3 linked regions of the Caenorhabditis elegans genome follow. The protein of the gene in region 2 purifies or fractionates together with the protein of the main gene of each other region. This does not show direct contact. Each region holds a gene or a part of one and is shown on either strand. Other genes may lie near its edges. The genes, in order: Y73C8B.3, C27D8.2 and nep-24.

The links.
Region 1: the proteins of C27D8.2 (region 2) and Y73C8B.3 fractionate together in Caenorhabditis elegans (co-fractionation; one large-scale study listed by BioGRID). This does not show direct contact.
Region 3: the proteins of C27D8.2 (region 2) and nep-24 fractionate together in Caenorhabditis elegans (co-fractionation; one large-scale study listed by BioGRID). This does not show direct contact.

The regions. Positions count from the first base shown.
Region 1 is NC_003283.11:3,190,911-3,196,058, forward strand, and holds Y73C8B.3 (AB hydrolase-1 domain-containing protein), read right to left. Parts: upstream 2,328-5,148; 5' UTR 2,221-2,327; coding exon 2,077-2,220; intron 1,570-2,076; coding exon 1,416-1,569; intron 1,360-1,415; coding exon 1,078-1,359; intron 1,021-1,077; coding exon 899-1,020; intron 850-898; coding exon 754-849; intron 702-753; coding exon 513-701; 3' UTR 392-512; downstream 1-391. Other genes in the region: Y73C8B.2 (AB hydrolase-1 domain-containing protein), read right to left, coding at 2,559-2,723, 2,770-2,865, 2,921-3,042, 3,093-3,528, 3,984-4,091; Y73C8B.9 (Transposase), read left to right, coding at 2,648-2,667, 2,966-3,041; Y73C8B.1 (AB hydrolase-1 domain-containing protein), read right to left, coding at 4,577-4,738, 4,785-5,002.
Region 2 is NC_003282.8:12,708,466-12,713,613, reverse strand, and holds the start of C27D8.2 (BACK domain-containing protein), read right to left. Parts: upstream 2,398-5,148; 5' UTR 2,307-2,397; coding exon of another isoform or gene 2,195-2,306; 5' UTR 1,953-2,194; coding exon of another isoform or gene 1,881-1,952; 5' UTR 782-1,880; coding exon 759-781; intron 699-758; coding exon 590-698; intron 498-589; coding exon 228-497; intron 168-227; coding exon 1-167. Other genes in the region: C27D8.3 (Integrase catalytic domain-containing protein), read left to right, coding at 1,881-1,952, 2,195-2,306, 2,951-3,273, 3,513-3,899, 4,090-4,419, 4,537-4,792, 5,021-5,148.
Region 3 is NC_003282.8:16,922,122-16,927,269, forward strand, and holds nep-24 (NEPrilysin metallopeptidase family), read left to right. Parts: upstream 1-2,270; coding exon 2,271-2,420; intron 2,421-2,464; coding exon 2,465-2,594; intron 2,595-2,641; coding exon 2,642-2,727; intron 2,728-2,771; coding exon 2,772-3,017; intron 3,018-3,068; coding exon 3,069-3,353; intron 3,354-3,719; coding exon 3,720-3,839; intron 3,840-3,882; coding exon 3,883-4,137; intron 4,138-4,182; coding exon 4,183-4,345; intron 4,346-4,389; coding exon 4,390-4,658; 3' UTR 4,659-4,846; intron 4,847-4,895; 3' UTR 4,896-4,936; downstream 4,937-5,148. Other genes in the region: nep-23 (NEPrilysin metallopeptidase family), read left to right, coding at 651-905, 949-1,111, 1,156-1,403, 1,455-1,613, 1,777-1,950.

The sequences.
Region 1 (5,148 bases), on a different chromosome or scaffold from region 2:
TTAAAATGGTTTGAGTCATAGGTGGGCGACAAACGATTGCTTCCGGCAAATCGGCAAATCGGCAAATCGACAAATTGTCGGAATCGAAATTTCCGGCCTATCGGCAAATCAGCAAATTTCAGCATTTAAAACTTTCGACAAACCGGCAAATTGGCATATTGTGGTTTTGCACATTTTTTTTTTGGAAATTTCAGAATTTCAATTTTAATCGGCAACACATCTATTTTGAAAAGTATGCAAGTTCTATGAAAATATCTAGAAAAAACGGGAAAAAAATTTCAAAAAGGCACAGTTTTTTTTCTTATAAAAAATATCCTCCAAAAACTTCCGGCAAATTGATGTGCGGCAAATCGGCAAATCGGTAAATTGTCAAAAAATAAAAATTTTCGCCCACCCCTGAATAAACTTTATTTTCGGGAAAAAACTTTCAAAACTTGCAAAAAATCACTTTTAGTTTTTTTTTTAATACACAAAAAATTCAAAAAATCACTTCTAAGTCTTCATTACATGATTCACAATTTATTTCTACTCGTTTTCTCATTTTCAAACATGGCTTTACAAGCCTCAGCTACCAGGCCGGCTCTCGATTTGTTCTGAAAATGATTGTCCTGCGCGACGAAAACCGAAGCTCCACGTTGAGTCCCCGTAAAGGAATCAAGGATTTTCAGTCTCTCGGCTTCTGAGATCTCTTTGTCAATGTTCTGAAAATAATTGTATTGTATAATAAAGCTACTTTTCAAAAAAAAAACTTACAAAATGCTGCAATCCTTCATGCTTCTCGAGCGTCTCAAAAACAATTTCCTCCTCGACGAGGTGATCTTTTCCGGCGAAAACAATCAGTTTTTTGACCTAAAAATTGTGAAGATGAAGCTTCAAAATAATGAACTATCAATCTTACATTCATATCGTTTGTCTTTTCAATAAACTCAAGTTGTCCTCCCAACGAGACATTTATCATAGATCTCATCGAGTTGACGGCCTCCTCGCCAGTAGTGATTTTGAATCCAAAAGCTTTATATACTGAAATTCAGAAGGGTTTTAGTATGAGGTTTTCAAATTTTCAAAAAAAAAACTCACCGCCCAACATCATGGCATTTCCGAGGAATAATGGTAGCATTTTATAAATTGAATCCACAGTTGTCATTCTAGAAATCGGGTTGATTCCCTTATGAATCCTCAGACCAGTCGGATTGATGAGCACAATTCCGTGAGCATCTCGAGCCACAGCCGTCTGAAGAGCATTCTCACATCCACGACTGTGACCGATGTACGCCATTTTTCCATCGATGCCTAGCTCATCCAGCAGTGCATTCGAATAGTTTTGCCGTTCGATGTTGATATGTTTTTGGTCGGGGTACTCTACAAAATTTAATTATTTTAAAATAATTTTTTTGAATTAAAGAAAATCAACTCACCATTTGTAAACGTGAAGCCTGGATAATTGACTCCAATGAATCTAATTTTTAAGTCATCCAGCTTGCTCCGAATGTACTTGAAATCGTTGTGAGACCCAGGGGAGCCGTGGAAAGCAACTACAGTACCAAATGGTGAGCCGGAAGTAAGGGAGTCCTAAATATATAAAATTGGCTCTACTCGTTTCATAATTTAAAAAAATCATTCCATCAGAAAATTTGAACACAAAATTAATTTTTTTTTTAACTTTTAGCTGATAATTTTGCTTTTTGGCAAGTTTTCCAGTACTATCAAGAATACTAAATTTTGCAATAATACGGTATCTGGTCTCGACACGACAAATTTTTGGTAAATGCAAAATGTGCGCCTTTAAAAAGTACTGTAATTTCTAACTCGTGTTTCAGTTGAAGTTTCATTGCTTTTTTATAGTTTTTCGGCAGAAAAGTATACTTTTTTGTTCGAAAAACTTTAATAATACAATAAACAATATTTAAACTTCTGAACAAATTGTGAAGAAAACTATGAAAAATTGATGAAACTTAGCAGAAAAAAAGTTTGAAATTACAGTACTTTTTAAAGGCGCACACCTTTTTGAATTTAACAAAAACTTGTCGTGTCGAGACCGGGTACCCTATTGCAAAAATCCAAAAAAAAAAAACTAACCTCATAAACCGCATCCAGCTCCACTTTCTTCCCGCTTTCCGTCTCAAACTTTACCAATTTTCGGCACAAATTTGGTTCCGTCATTTTTTGAAAAACTTTTGATGGGCCAGCAGAGGCCGCCAGAAACACTTTCGACGTTATCATTACACTAAAACTATTTGGAAAAATAAATTTTAGTGGATTTTTTTCTACTAGGAAATGATGGGGACAATGCGAGAGTTCACGTATTTAAAGAGAGCGCAGAGAGAAGGTTGGGTGAACTGAAGAGATAGTGTAGGGGTTAGATGAGGCGCAGAGACGTAAGAAAAAAGCGTTCGGAGATAGATGGGTGTAGTGTTGGCCACATTGTCGTCTGTGTAGTTGATATCATTTGTAGCGGAAAATATGTCAAAATTGATAAGGATTTTAGTTGTCTAGACCCCGTCGGGAGTATAGGAAAAATTAATTTATGCTTGTAAAAGTCCAGTAAACGTTCGAAAAAATTATGCATCCAACATTTTCTTGCAGGACTCAGCGACCAGCTCTGCCTGTGATTTATTCTGAAAATGGGTGTCCTTCGCCACGAAAACTGATGCACCAAGTTGATTTCCCGTAAAACATTCCATAATTTTTGACTTTTCCTCTTCAGAAATTCCATCTTCAAATCTCTGAAAAATTTTAAGTTTATGGTAGAGATGCTAGAAGTTAACTCACAAAATGCTCCAAACCGTCATGTTTCTCCAATTTCTCTAGGACAATTTCTTCTTCTACCAAGTGGTCGTTTCCGCCGAAGACGATTAGTTTTTTGGTCTGAAAATTTTCAAAATTAGAAGGGCGTAGACGATAGGCTTTTTTGAAAACTTACATGCTTCTGATTCAACTTCTCAATGTACTCAATTTGATCTTCCAGCGACATCCTCATCACGGACCGCATTGCGCACATGGCCTCCTCTCCAGATTTCACTTTGAAGCCGATAGCTTTGTAGACTGAAATATTTTTAAAATTTGAAATGAACTAAATAAATATTTTTACTTACTTCCTAAAATCATCGAATTTCCCAAAAAACTTGGCAAAAGCCCATACATCCAGTCCAAATACTCCAGCCTATAAAATGGCCTAATGCCCTGATGATGTCTGAACCCGGTCGGATTTATGAGCACAAGACCGTGAGCTTCACGTCCGACGGCTGTTTGCAGAGCATTCTCGCATCCACGACTGTGTCCCATGTAGATAATTTTTCCGTCGATTTTCAGCTCATCTAGCAAAGCGTTGGAGAAGTTTTGGCGTTCCGGATTTGCGTGTTGTTGACCTTCATATTCAGGCGTATTTGAAAATCCCGGATAATTGACTCCAATAAATCGAATATTCAGATCATCCAGCTTGCTCCGAATGTACTTGAAATCGTTGTGAGACCCAGGGGAGCCGTGGAAAGCAACTACAGTACCGAACGGGGAGCCGGAAGTGATAGAGTCCTGAATTTGAAAAGTTAATATTAGGGGGGCAAATTTTTTAGTAGGCAAATTTGGCAAATTGGCAAAATACCGGTTTGCCGACTTGCCGGAGTTTTGATTTTCGGCAAATTGCTGATTTGTTGTTTGCCAAACCTCAACTTGCCAGAAGTTTTCAGAGGGATTTTTATAGGACTTAAAACTGTGCCTTTTTGAAAATTTTCCCCGTTTTCTTTGGATATTTTCATAGAATTTGCTTATTTTTCAAAATAGATGTAGAAGCATTCTTAGGATGCGTACAATTTTTGCCGATTAAATTTGAAATTCTGAGATTTCCAAAAAAAAATTGGCAATTTGCCGGTTTGCCGAAAATTTCAATTCCGGCAATTTACCGATTTGCCGGAAAAGGTCGTTTGCCGCCCGCCCTGGTTCAAATATCCAGAAAAAAAACTAGATTAAAGTAAAACTTCGAACCACACCTCATAAACCGCCTCCAACTCCACAAATTGTTCATTTTCCGCTTGAAATTTCACTAGCTTCTTCAAAAGCTTGGGCTCACTTATTCGTGCTCTGGGGACCTCCGTCATTCTTGAAATTGTATTGATTAAAGAAAACGGTACAATAATTAGTTTTGACATTAAATTTTAAAAATAAGAAATGAAATTTTTAAAGCGTAAAATATGTATATTTTTTAAACTCGACAAAATAATTTAATTTCTTTGCAAAAAAATCAATAAAGAACTCGAATAAACCGTGTTATTCGTGGAATCTCAAAGGTCGAAAAAGGAAGTAAAATTGAGGGTAATCGTAAGCAAGCGCGCTCTATTGAGAGTGACCTTTTCCTCTCGAAGAAGGGGAGGCATTGTCACTATGCAAATACAGGGATTTGTGTTCCCTTGCAGCAGTACAGGTTGGAAGAACGCATTTTTTACAATTTGCTCACATAATCAATCGGCGCAGGACTCACAAAAGGAAATTGTTTTAAGAATTAACGCTTTGATAATAAGTTATTATTATTGATAACACAATTCAATGAATAATTCAAAAAAAAATTGAAAAACTATTTATAATACTAATTCAATAACATTGATCTAGCAGCATCTGCCAATAAATCCGCCCGCTTCTTATTTTGAAAATGGTTATCCTTTGCAATAAATACAGATGTTCCTTTTTGATTTTTGAAACTCTCCATTATTTTCTGCTTTTCAGATTCTGTGATGTTCGCTTTGAAATTCTGAAATTCCTTCCAATTTTTCAAGTTTTTCTATCACAAAACTTACAAAATGCGCGAGTCCCTGATACTTTTTGAGTGCTTCAAAAACAATTTCCTTTTCAATTAAATGATCGCTTCCCCCAAAAGTGATCATAGTTTTTGTGGGCTGTTCATTCAATTTCAGAATGTATTCCAGTTGCTTTTCCAGGTCACAGTTCATAATTGCTCGAATAACCGCCACGGCTTCCTCTCCGTCTTGAATTTTAAATCCGACCGATTTCATTACTGGAAATTGGAAAAGCTATTTATGGTTCAAAAAGTTACAATTTTCAGTTTGCGGAGACCGTCAACCAATCAGCGGTGCGCGGGGCGTGGCCAACATTGCTGATTGGCTGGTGCTTTTCAAATTTGAGTGCATTTTTGAAAATAAG
Region 2 (5,148 bases):
TGGAACGGAACTTTGTGAAAATCTGGAAGAGCTACAAGCTTCTCAATGCTTTCGATGGCAAAGTTTTGCAGAGATTTTTCAGTGTCCGGGTTGACATGGGCCACGTCGCAGACGATCATCGTCTGGAGAAGATCTGCTTCGGAGGACTTGGCCGCTTCGACTATGCTCTGAAATTTAATATTTATTTTTAACCAGGAATATTTAGATGATTGTATGTAGGTTCTTACATCTTCCAGATACATCTTCAACTCCTTCATCTGGAAGGTGTGCGCCAGCGTGACCAGCTCGGTGATCGCATAGTATGTCAGATCGGACTTGATCTCCTGGTTCTGCACATAATTCACGAAAGCCATTATCGATTGATCGCTGAAGCGGTGCAAGTCGACCGTTGACATCGGGTTTCCGGCGGTTTGCTGTTGCTTGACCAGCTGAGAGCAGCGAGCAAGTTCCTCGACGGGAAGATGGTAGACCGTACGATTGCCGAGAAGGCGGACAACCTAAAAACAACAAAAAAATTACGAAAATAGTCTTAGGCTTAGGCATAGGTATATCCATGCACCAGCAGCATTTTATTAAAACTCTCTCTTACCTTCCCACCACCGGTCGCATCCTTCTTCTTTGCCTTTTTCGATATCACATTGTTATCCGATTCCGAAGACTTTAGCTTCGGAAGTCCAACTTTTTTCTTTTTCGAATCGCTGGAAGAATTTAAACTTATCAAAAAGTTACAGACTTCGCTGTGAGACCCAAAAACTCACGACGACTTTTTATCTGTTTCCATTTGAGTGACCCTTCAAAATCGTCGATTTTGCGAAAGCAAGTAAAATAGGAATGATTGAATTTTCCAAATGACATTCTCTATTGATTTTTTTTCTGTGGAACGTGGTAGATGAAACTTAAGATAATATAATTTCAACGTGTTTCAAAAATCATTTCACGGGAATTAAATTTAAATTTTTTGTGAAAAATAAAAAAAATTGATTAAGATGAAAATTGTGTGAAAAAACAAGTAACCCTTCTAAAAGCCCGCAAATTGACTCCTCCCATTTCTTGACTCTTTAAGTTTTAAATGTCCTTGAACCTCCTGCAATTTTTGCTTTAAAAAAAATTTCCTTACTAATTTCCTTGTGCCTTTTTTACAAAGAATTTTTACAATTTTTGTAGAAAAAAAAATGTTGCCTTTCGGTAATTTTTTTGGGTTCATAATTAAAATTACCAATATATCCCTCGATAGGTTTTGAATAGTAAGTACAAAAGCCTTTTTCTGAGCTACTACTTTTTTGATGTTGAATACTAAAAATGTTTCCAAAAATAGCCAAAAATCAATCAATTCGCAAAGACATAAAGAAAATCTTCTCCTCGGGGAGTACACGAGCTGCAAAGCATAACCGTGGAAGAGGTTATCCCCGGCCTCCATTTTTCAATGTGTGTTTCAACACATGTGTCTCGTACACAGCTCTGCCACTTCCAAAAAATTTCCAAAAACGTGTGTTGAACATTTTTCGAAATTACAAAAAAAGAGCAAAATGTGTTGTCAATTTGCGAATCTCTTGGAAAATGTTTTTAGAAAGCCAGAAAGTTTTCATTGTTTTCTAACGTTTTCTTTATCATCAAATAGATATCACATCAACAATCTTATTGCATCAGTAAATGAAACATACTCGTACTTCAGTATTTTTGAGTTTCTCAATTTATTTTTTTCTTGTTTTTTGTTTCAACTGTTACTGATAAAGAGGGGAGCTTTGTAGCTTTTCCAAAAAATATTTTTACTTTTCTCTATTGGTTCTTTTTATTTTTCTACATTCGAAATAGCATTTCCGTTCTCTCACAATATAATTTTTTTCAATTTACAAACAAAAAATTCTACAGGCTATGTTAGAATGACAACACCACACAAAACGATTTCCCCATTCTCTACAATTGATCATTATCAGAAGATTGTCTATGAGTTGGTAAGTTTTTTTACGTTTAGAATGGGGTTTAGATTGCACGTGGTCTAGAAAGTGTCAAAAACTCAGCCACTGGTAAAACTAAGCTTTTTGTGCATACTCGAAACTTTGAAAGAAAGAATTATATAACACATTTTTTGGTGGCCAAGTTTTGCACATTTCTAGGCCACGTCGCAAATTCTACCATTTGGGGCTCACGCTAGTGGATTTTCGTTTTCAAACGACCAATTTCCCTCTGTTCTCAGCTAATCCAGCTCAGCAAAGACCCCCAAACAGCTCAGGAAGTGACCAACATCGAGTCAAACATTGGTATCCTGCGAAATCACATCGAACAGATTCTAGAAAAACGAATAGAAGGTGAGATTTGAGTTTTGATCTTCCAAGCAAGACCCCCACGTGGGCGCGAGGGCGCCCGAATCCTTGTTTGGGTAGACGATGATTTGGGTAGAAGATACAAATGAGATAAGATTACAGGAGAAGAGAGAGAGAAAGAGAAGGGGAACGAAGACAGAGATAAAATTGACAGTGATACGCGTTTTGATTTACGATCCCAGATATTTCTAATACACATGTCGATTGTTAATAAAGAAGAGAATTGCAATCAGTAGTTGTACAAATTTCAGAAAAGGGGTTACGGGCAGAGGTACGCGGCAATTGCCAACATTGCCGATTGCCGGAAATTTGGAAAACCGGCAATTGCCGGAATATCCGATTGCAGTAAATCAAAATTGCCGGAAATATAAATTTGATACTTTTGTATAATAGATTTAGGAGCCTTAACATGCATTTTAATAAACAATTTTCTATGTTAAAGCTCCAAATGATTTAATCCTTTGTCTTTTTCTTTTGAAAAATATCTACCCGAATAATTATAAAAAAGGTGGATTTTGAATGAAAAAAGTGATTTTTTTCAATTTCCAAAATATAATTAGGTTTGCAAATTGCCGAAAATGTCCGACAATCGGCAATTCCGACAATTGCCGATTTTTCTTTTCTTCCAGCACTTCCATCAACAGACATAACCGATGATGAATTCGAAAACGAATGGGTGATCCTTGCCTGGGGACTATTGACATGCTTGTCTCGTCTACCATCAGAACCCGAACGAGATATTACTCAAAGCTTCAACCATATCCTCGTTCGTCTTGTAAACATTGCTCGTCCGATGCGAATTCCAAAAGTGTGCCCTGAAGCGAAGCAATGGTGGACACAATTTCATGAGTTGTACAATAGTTCACTTCATTATTTACATGGGTTGTACTCGCAACTGGACAATCCAAATTGTAATATTGAAATCAAGATGAGGGCTTATTTCACCAGACAGGTACGTAAAGTTTTGCTTTAAAACAAAAACTGAAAATTGAGCGGACCCACGTGGTGCCAGGCTGTCCCATTACGGTTTGATCTACAAAATTGCGGGACACTCTGACATCACGTGCGGGCCTTGTTTGGTTTCTCATAATTTTATTCCAGAAATTTTTTTTGTTATATAAGATAACTTGAAGTAATTTTAAACATAACTCCTCAAGCTTGATTGATAGAAATTATTATAATCTTTTCCAGCTCCAACCTTGCCTCGCTGCATTCCGCAGGACTTGTGCTGAAAATGCTCCGGGATTTCACTCAAGCCTCCGAAGAGCTCAAGTCAATCGACTATCAAATCAGGAAAAACTAGTCGAGCAAGACACTTATGAGATCCGGAGTTACTATTCTTCACTGGCATACACGTTGGGTCTTCTCGCTGTGAGAATTCAAGGATTCCGATATGAATGTCAAACATGCTCACAGAATACATTTGCAACGCCTGATACGTTGTGGCAGTTGTTGAATGAAGTCTTTATTACCTATGAATATGTGATGAATGATGCTCTGATGTGTAATGAGCCAAACCATTCGTCAATTATGGTCACGAATAATCTGTTCACTTTCACGTGTCACACCTTGTGTAGGGTAAGTCTTGCATTTACGAAAATTGTCATGTTGTTTATTAGATTATGTCTGAGCCTGAGCCTGAACCTAACCCTTAGCTTATACCTAAGCCTAAGCCTAGGCCTAAGTTTCAGCTTATGCTTAGGTCTAAGCCTAAGCCTGAATTTAGCTGATTGAGCTTAATTATTATCAAAATAGCAAAAATTTTCAGACGTTGATATTCGAATCATTTGACATCCAAATAGTAAGTGAAGAGACCGCATTCGCAATTCAAAACGAAATAATTCAATGTCGAATGGGAAATAGTAGTCCACGAGAGCCCAAAGTCTTCCCATCGGCAGCTTTGATTGCTATGAAACCAACTTCTGGAGTTAAAAGGAATAATGCGACGGCGAATCAAAAGGGTACCGGTGGAAATACAGCTCACAAGAAATCAGATGTGAATAGTCAGGAATTCGTGACAATTCCACCAACATTCAGTGATAATTCAAATGCGTGGCAGACAACGTATCCACATTTGTTGTGCACGACAAGGCAGAAGGTTGGTTGAAATCAATTTGACAATAGTATTTTGATTTTCTAAATCTTAAGAGCTGCAAAATTTCTCCTATAAACTTTAAAAAATATAGACAAAAATAAATCCCCAACCTCATTTCAGGACGCAGTGCTCCTTGACAGTCGTGCTGGAACAACCGGAAAGCGTCCACTATTCTATTTCTACATCCGTGCGAAAACGTGGTCACCAACGGGAAATTACATTCATGTTCGAACGCTTTCTCTTCCATTCACAATAAGCACACGAAGAAATCAGGATTGTCAGGTTCAGAGAATGAACTCTTCGTATACTGCCACGTGTTTTTGGATGTATGGAACATGCGGGATTAATGGATTGCTGTTGAATTGGAATGAAAAACGTAAGAAGTTTTCGGATATCTGAAAATATTATTCGATAAATCTCCTGTAATTCAGGCAAAATTAGATAATTGTGAGGTTACTGTAGAAGTGCTGTAGAGTAGACACCACGGCTAGTCTCCTTTTTTAGTCCTTACACGTTATCTGTGGTAAGATCAAAAGTATATAATACATACTTAGCCATTTTGGAATATCAGCTGCTTTTTTTGAAAAATTTTCTGAATTTCCAGCGCTAACATGGTCCCAATTCAAACATCTAACTCGTCGATACTTCATGGTGAATGGAGAAGTTATCCGTACAATGGAGGAATCTGATTACGCCCTGCTTCAGGACAAAATGCATTGTGAACAGTGTGGG
Region 3 (5,148 bases), 4.2 Mb from region 2:
ACAGCTAGTATTGCAGCCGGGGTGGGCGTCGGCTGCTGCACAATCTCAAAAGGACTGCACAGCCGCCGACACCTCACGGGTTCCGCGCCTACGAGGTAGACACAGAGGGGTGCGGTACCCGTGAGATGTCGGCGGATGATACTGGTTGGGGTTGCGATTTTAGCATTTTCTCCGTGAATTTCCGGGAAAAAAAGGGCTCAGTCTTATGGATTTGTACGTACGTAAATGCCACGATGTACGAAACTCCTTTTTTTTCGAAGTCATCGCATACCTTCCCCCTAATGTCGCCAGGAGTTGTCTCATGTTTCATGAATTTAGAAGCGCCCGACGTCTGCCGGGATCCGCTACAGCACAGCTAGTATTGCAGCCCGGTAGGCGTCGGCTGCTGCACAACCTCAAACGACTCGAACGAAAGACAACACGTACATTTGAAATTAGAAAAACTGCAAAACAAATCCCAAAAATTAGGTCACACCGTTTTTGGGTCGTTTTCTGGGTTGGCAACTAAATCGGGACCCCAAGCAAATAACAGCCACCGACACCTCACGGGTTCAGCGCCTACCTACATCGTGATAATCTTAGTGGGATGCGGTACCCGTGAGATGTCGGCGGATAATATTGGCTGTACAAAAAATCCTATATTTTTTTAGAAAGTCATCACATACCTTCCTCGTGCATCTCTCCGAGTCTTCATTCGCAATTACGTCGACAAAGAGAACCGAGACCTGATCACCCAGCTGGCCGAAAAAACTCGAATCGCTCTTCACACTTTGGTTCAGAACTCCACGTGGCTAAAGGCAGAATCCAAACAACTTGCTCTAGACAAAATTAATGCGATGGGAAAGATGATTGGGTATCCGGACTTTTTCGAGCCACCGGGCACTTTGGATGGCATGTTTAAAAATGTAAGTAGTGAAAACTTATGCCTAATTTACTTAATTTTTTTAGCTAAATCTCGACTCATCTGACACGTACTACACAGCTCTCAACAAGCTCGAAAGGTATTTTGTTGAACAAAAAATGGATTATTTCGCAGAAGAGACACCTCTGGATCCAGATTTACGCGTTTTTGAAATGAATGCCTACTACTATATTCCCGGAAATCAGCTGAGTAAGTACTATTGGCTTTTAACCTAATTTTCAAAGAATTTCCAGACTTCCTTGCTCCATTCTTTGATGATCCAATGTTTGACTCGACCTACCCCGATTATGTGAACATTGCCATGTCTGGGAACATAATTGGTCATGAAATGGGTCACGCATTTGGTCCACACGCAATTTTGAGAACTGTCAGAGGACGGGAAGTGTGGATGAAACCGGAAGAACTTGCAGAATACGAGAGCAGGGCGCAGTGCCTGGCAAATCAGTACAGTGAATATGATGATCCAGATTTTGGACGAGTTGTAAGTGAAACTAGGTGATCTTGAAAAATGATTTTTCAACGAGAAATTCAGTTTGACGGCGGCAAAGTGATCGATGAGCTTGTGGCGGATAATATCGGACGGGAGGTTTCTTGGAAAATGTTTAAAAGTCTTGACTTGACAAATGCGACAAGGATTATTGGATTTGAAGACTATGACATTGACCAACTGTATTTCCGTGTTGGAGCCCTGGTGAGTCCATGTCGACCAATCAGCACGCGCCCTCATCGCTGATTGGTCGACACTTTGGTACAGTGTTGTCTAGCCATTCAACAGCCGACATAAAGCGGGACCATTAGATGTCGGGTGCTTTGAAACTAATATTAGCAGTTTTTTCTGAAAGTATCTATTTCAGACACACTGCACCCCTCATGCGATGCGTGATTTGAAAGGGTCTATCGAAAGTTCTCATCCTCGGAAAGCATTCCGTGTGAATGGAGTCTATGCGAATCTTCCAGAGTTTGCCAGAGCATTCAACTGCCCGACGGGATCTCCAATGAATCCGAGAAAGAAGTGTGATATGTTCTGAACTTGTGTTTTAGGTTTTTACTAGAAATGAACTTGATTCCTCCCTGATTTCTTGTTTTAATTTATAGTAACATTCTCATCATTTTGTTCAGAAAAGAGATACCATTTAATGAATCAGCTCAGATTTCTGATCAAATACGAATGTTGATCGGTGACAACAGGTGGTTTGTCTTTTGTTTGACATGTTTGAATTGAATCATTGATACGTTACTGTTCACCAAAACATTTATTTTTTGACAAACTTTTTTTCTGTTTCATGTATTCTATTTCAGTTTGTGTCGTTTTTATATTCTTACTGCTTGTAACATATAATTTCAGATAATGAGTCTACAAAAAGCCAAGGAAAAGCTGCCAGGATTTATGCTTCTTCTTCTTCTCACCTGTACTGCTCCACTCGCCATCGGAGCAACAACTCCTGCTACCCGAAATGTCTGTAATACTCCAGCATGCATCACTCTTGCTCACATGTTGGTAAGTTCCTAGCACTCTGGTTTCCAACTATATCAAACTTCCAGCACAACTACCACGACCCATCAGTTGATCCGTGTGACAACTTCCACCAATTCGCTTGCGGGAGAGAGCATGAGCACGAAACGGAAGATATTTACACGAAAAAAACAAAAACCATCAATAATATAATGAAAAGTGAGCTTTAGCTTTTATTCTTTTCTGTAATTTAGTTCCTGTTTCAGGATTTCTAAAAAAGAACGAGACGTCAAGATCGAAGTCGGAGAATGCTATGAGAACCTTGTATAAAGCGTGTAAAACCTTGGAGAAAGTAAGTTTTTTTTCAAAATTTTAAAAGCAAAATTTAATTTTCAGAATTCCACAGCCAGTCGTAACAAAGCTCTTCAGGACATTTTCCAAGATATTCAGAGCATTGGGGCTTGGCCAGTGGTGGATGATAAGTGGGATGAGTCGAAATTCGATCTGAATGATTTCCTTGTTAATCTAGTGAGGTTGGGAAGAAAAAATTTTGGACTATTTCAAATGGCACGGTATGTAAACGTTCGAAATTTTGCTATAGGCCCAGAAGCAGCTTGGCGTCACAACGTAGATCTCGGAAAGGTTTCGGATACAATTTTATACATTTTGCACCTTAAAAATTTGAATTTTCAGACAATTTCCGAGATTCTGAAAGCTAATTCTGTTCAGACGAACAATAAGAAGCTTCTAGACGATTTGGCAGAGTATGTTAATTTGGAGAAGGCGTTAAGCCAGCACAAGTTCAACACAGTTCAACCAGGATATATTTTTTCTGAGCGATCAGATTTTGTGTCAAGTGTGAATTTTTCAAGGCTCGTCTTGGAAATGATGAGCCCCGACAAAAGAACTTTATTCCCGGAAGTGTATCAGATTATGTACCTAACCAACACCTCGCTGTTTTTTGGAAAAAATAATAATGTAAGCATTATATTTTGATAGGGCTTCCATGTAGGCGCCAAAGCGCCTGCCTCTGCCTGCCGCGCCTCTTGTATTGTGCGGCGCGAAACCCAAAAAGTGTCGGCCGCTGCAAAAGAGCCACATTTAGCACTATGTGGTGTCTTTCATTTCTTGTCATTATGAGGCGAGAGGTCGGCGGGAGGCGGGCCGGCGTCAGGCCCCCGTCCTCCGCCTGCCTCGCGCGCAGAACCCGAGAGCCACTTTTCACACTTTATTGTGTCTTTCCTATCTCGCTAAAATAAGGTGAGAGGCAGGCGTCAGACCCTGAAACCGCGCCTGCCTCCAAAGCACTATATTTCGACTCTCCGGAAGATATTCTCCTTATAGCTTGAAACAATCATTCGGAACACTTCTAAAAGAGCATTGGCCAACTACTTGATCTTCAAATTCATCGATACGTCTATCGCAGACCTGACATATGGTTCCCCATCGGCATTTTGCGAACAGGTAGAGTACTATGATTTTTTTTTCTTTCGAAAAATTTATTTAGAAAGTCATCAACTTTCTCCCTCGTGCTGCTCTTCGTGCATTCTATCGCAACTTTATAAGTAAGGAGAATCGGAAGAAAATCACCAAATTGACTGAAGCCACCCAAGTTCAACTGTTGAAGATCATCGGCGCAACTGATTGGATGAGCATTAAATCGAAGAAAATCGCGATGGATAGAGTCAGCAGTATGAATATGGTAATTGGATATCCAGACTATTTTGATCCACCGGGAAAACTGGATGGACTATTCGAACATGTGAGTAGACCTCCTAGAAATCAGGGCTTGATAATTCAATTTTAGCTCAATCTGTCTTCATCTGACACTTATTACACGGTTGTCAGAAAAATCAATCGATTCATGCGTGAACAAGAGATGGACTATTATACCGGAGAAGTGCCGTACTATCCATTGTTCCCGGGACTTATGACTAATGCCATGTATAACGCGAATGATAATAATCTAAGTAAACTTGCAAGATAATTAATTATCATAATTATATATTTGCAGTGATCTTTGCCCCATTCTTCGATGATCCATTTTTCGACTCTAGTTTCCCGGACTATGCAAACATCGCATTCACTTCGAACACACTTGCTCATGAAATGGGACACACTTTCAGCCCGCATTTGATGGATATAATGACTGGTACAACAGAAGTTTGGCTAACACCGAAGGAGACAGAGGAGTACGAAAAGAGGGTGAAATGCCTGGAAGATCAATATACTGAGTATGACGATCCGGAGTACGGGAGAATTGCAAAAAGCTGTATAGTTTGAAAAAATACTCAATTTTATTAAACATTCAGTATAATGGATCGATGGTGATCGATGAGATAGTAGCAGATCGGATTGCAATTGATGTTAATTGGAGGGATTTCAAGAGTTCGGATCGATCGAAGGATCAGAAGATCATTGGATTCGAGGACTACAATCTGGACCAACTGTTCTTCCGTATTTCAGCTATGGTTAGTGAAGTGCTAGTGAGAAAATAAATAAAAATATGTCATATTTCAGAGCTTCTGTACGCCGGCTCCACTTTCGCTAGAAGTGTCTAAGGCTTCCAACCATCCGGCGTTTGCCTTCCGTGTCAATGGAGTTTTTCAGAACGTGCCAGAATTTGCGAAGACATTCAACTGCCCGCTTGGATTGCCAATGAATCCGGTGAAGAAGTGTAAAATGCTCTGATATTTTGTTTTTTTTTTTTTTGGAATAAAATATGCATTGTTAACATGAATTTTAGTTTTGAGAAGAGTAGTATAAGAATATT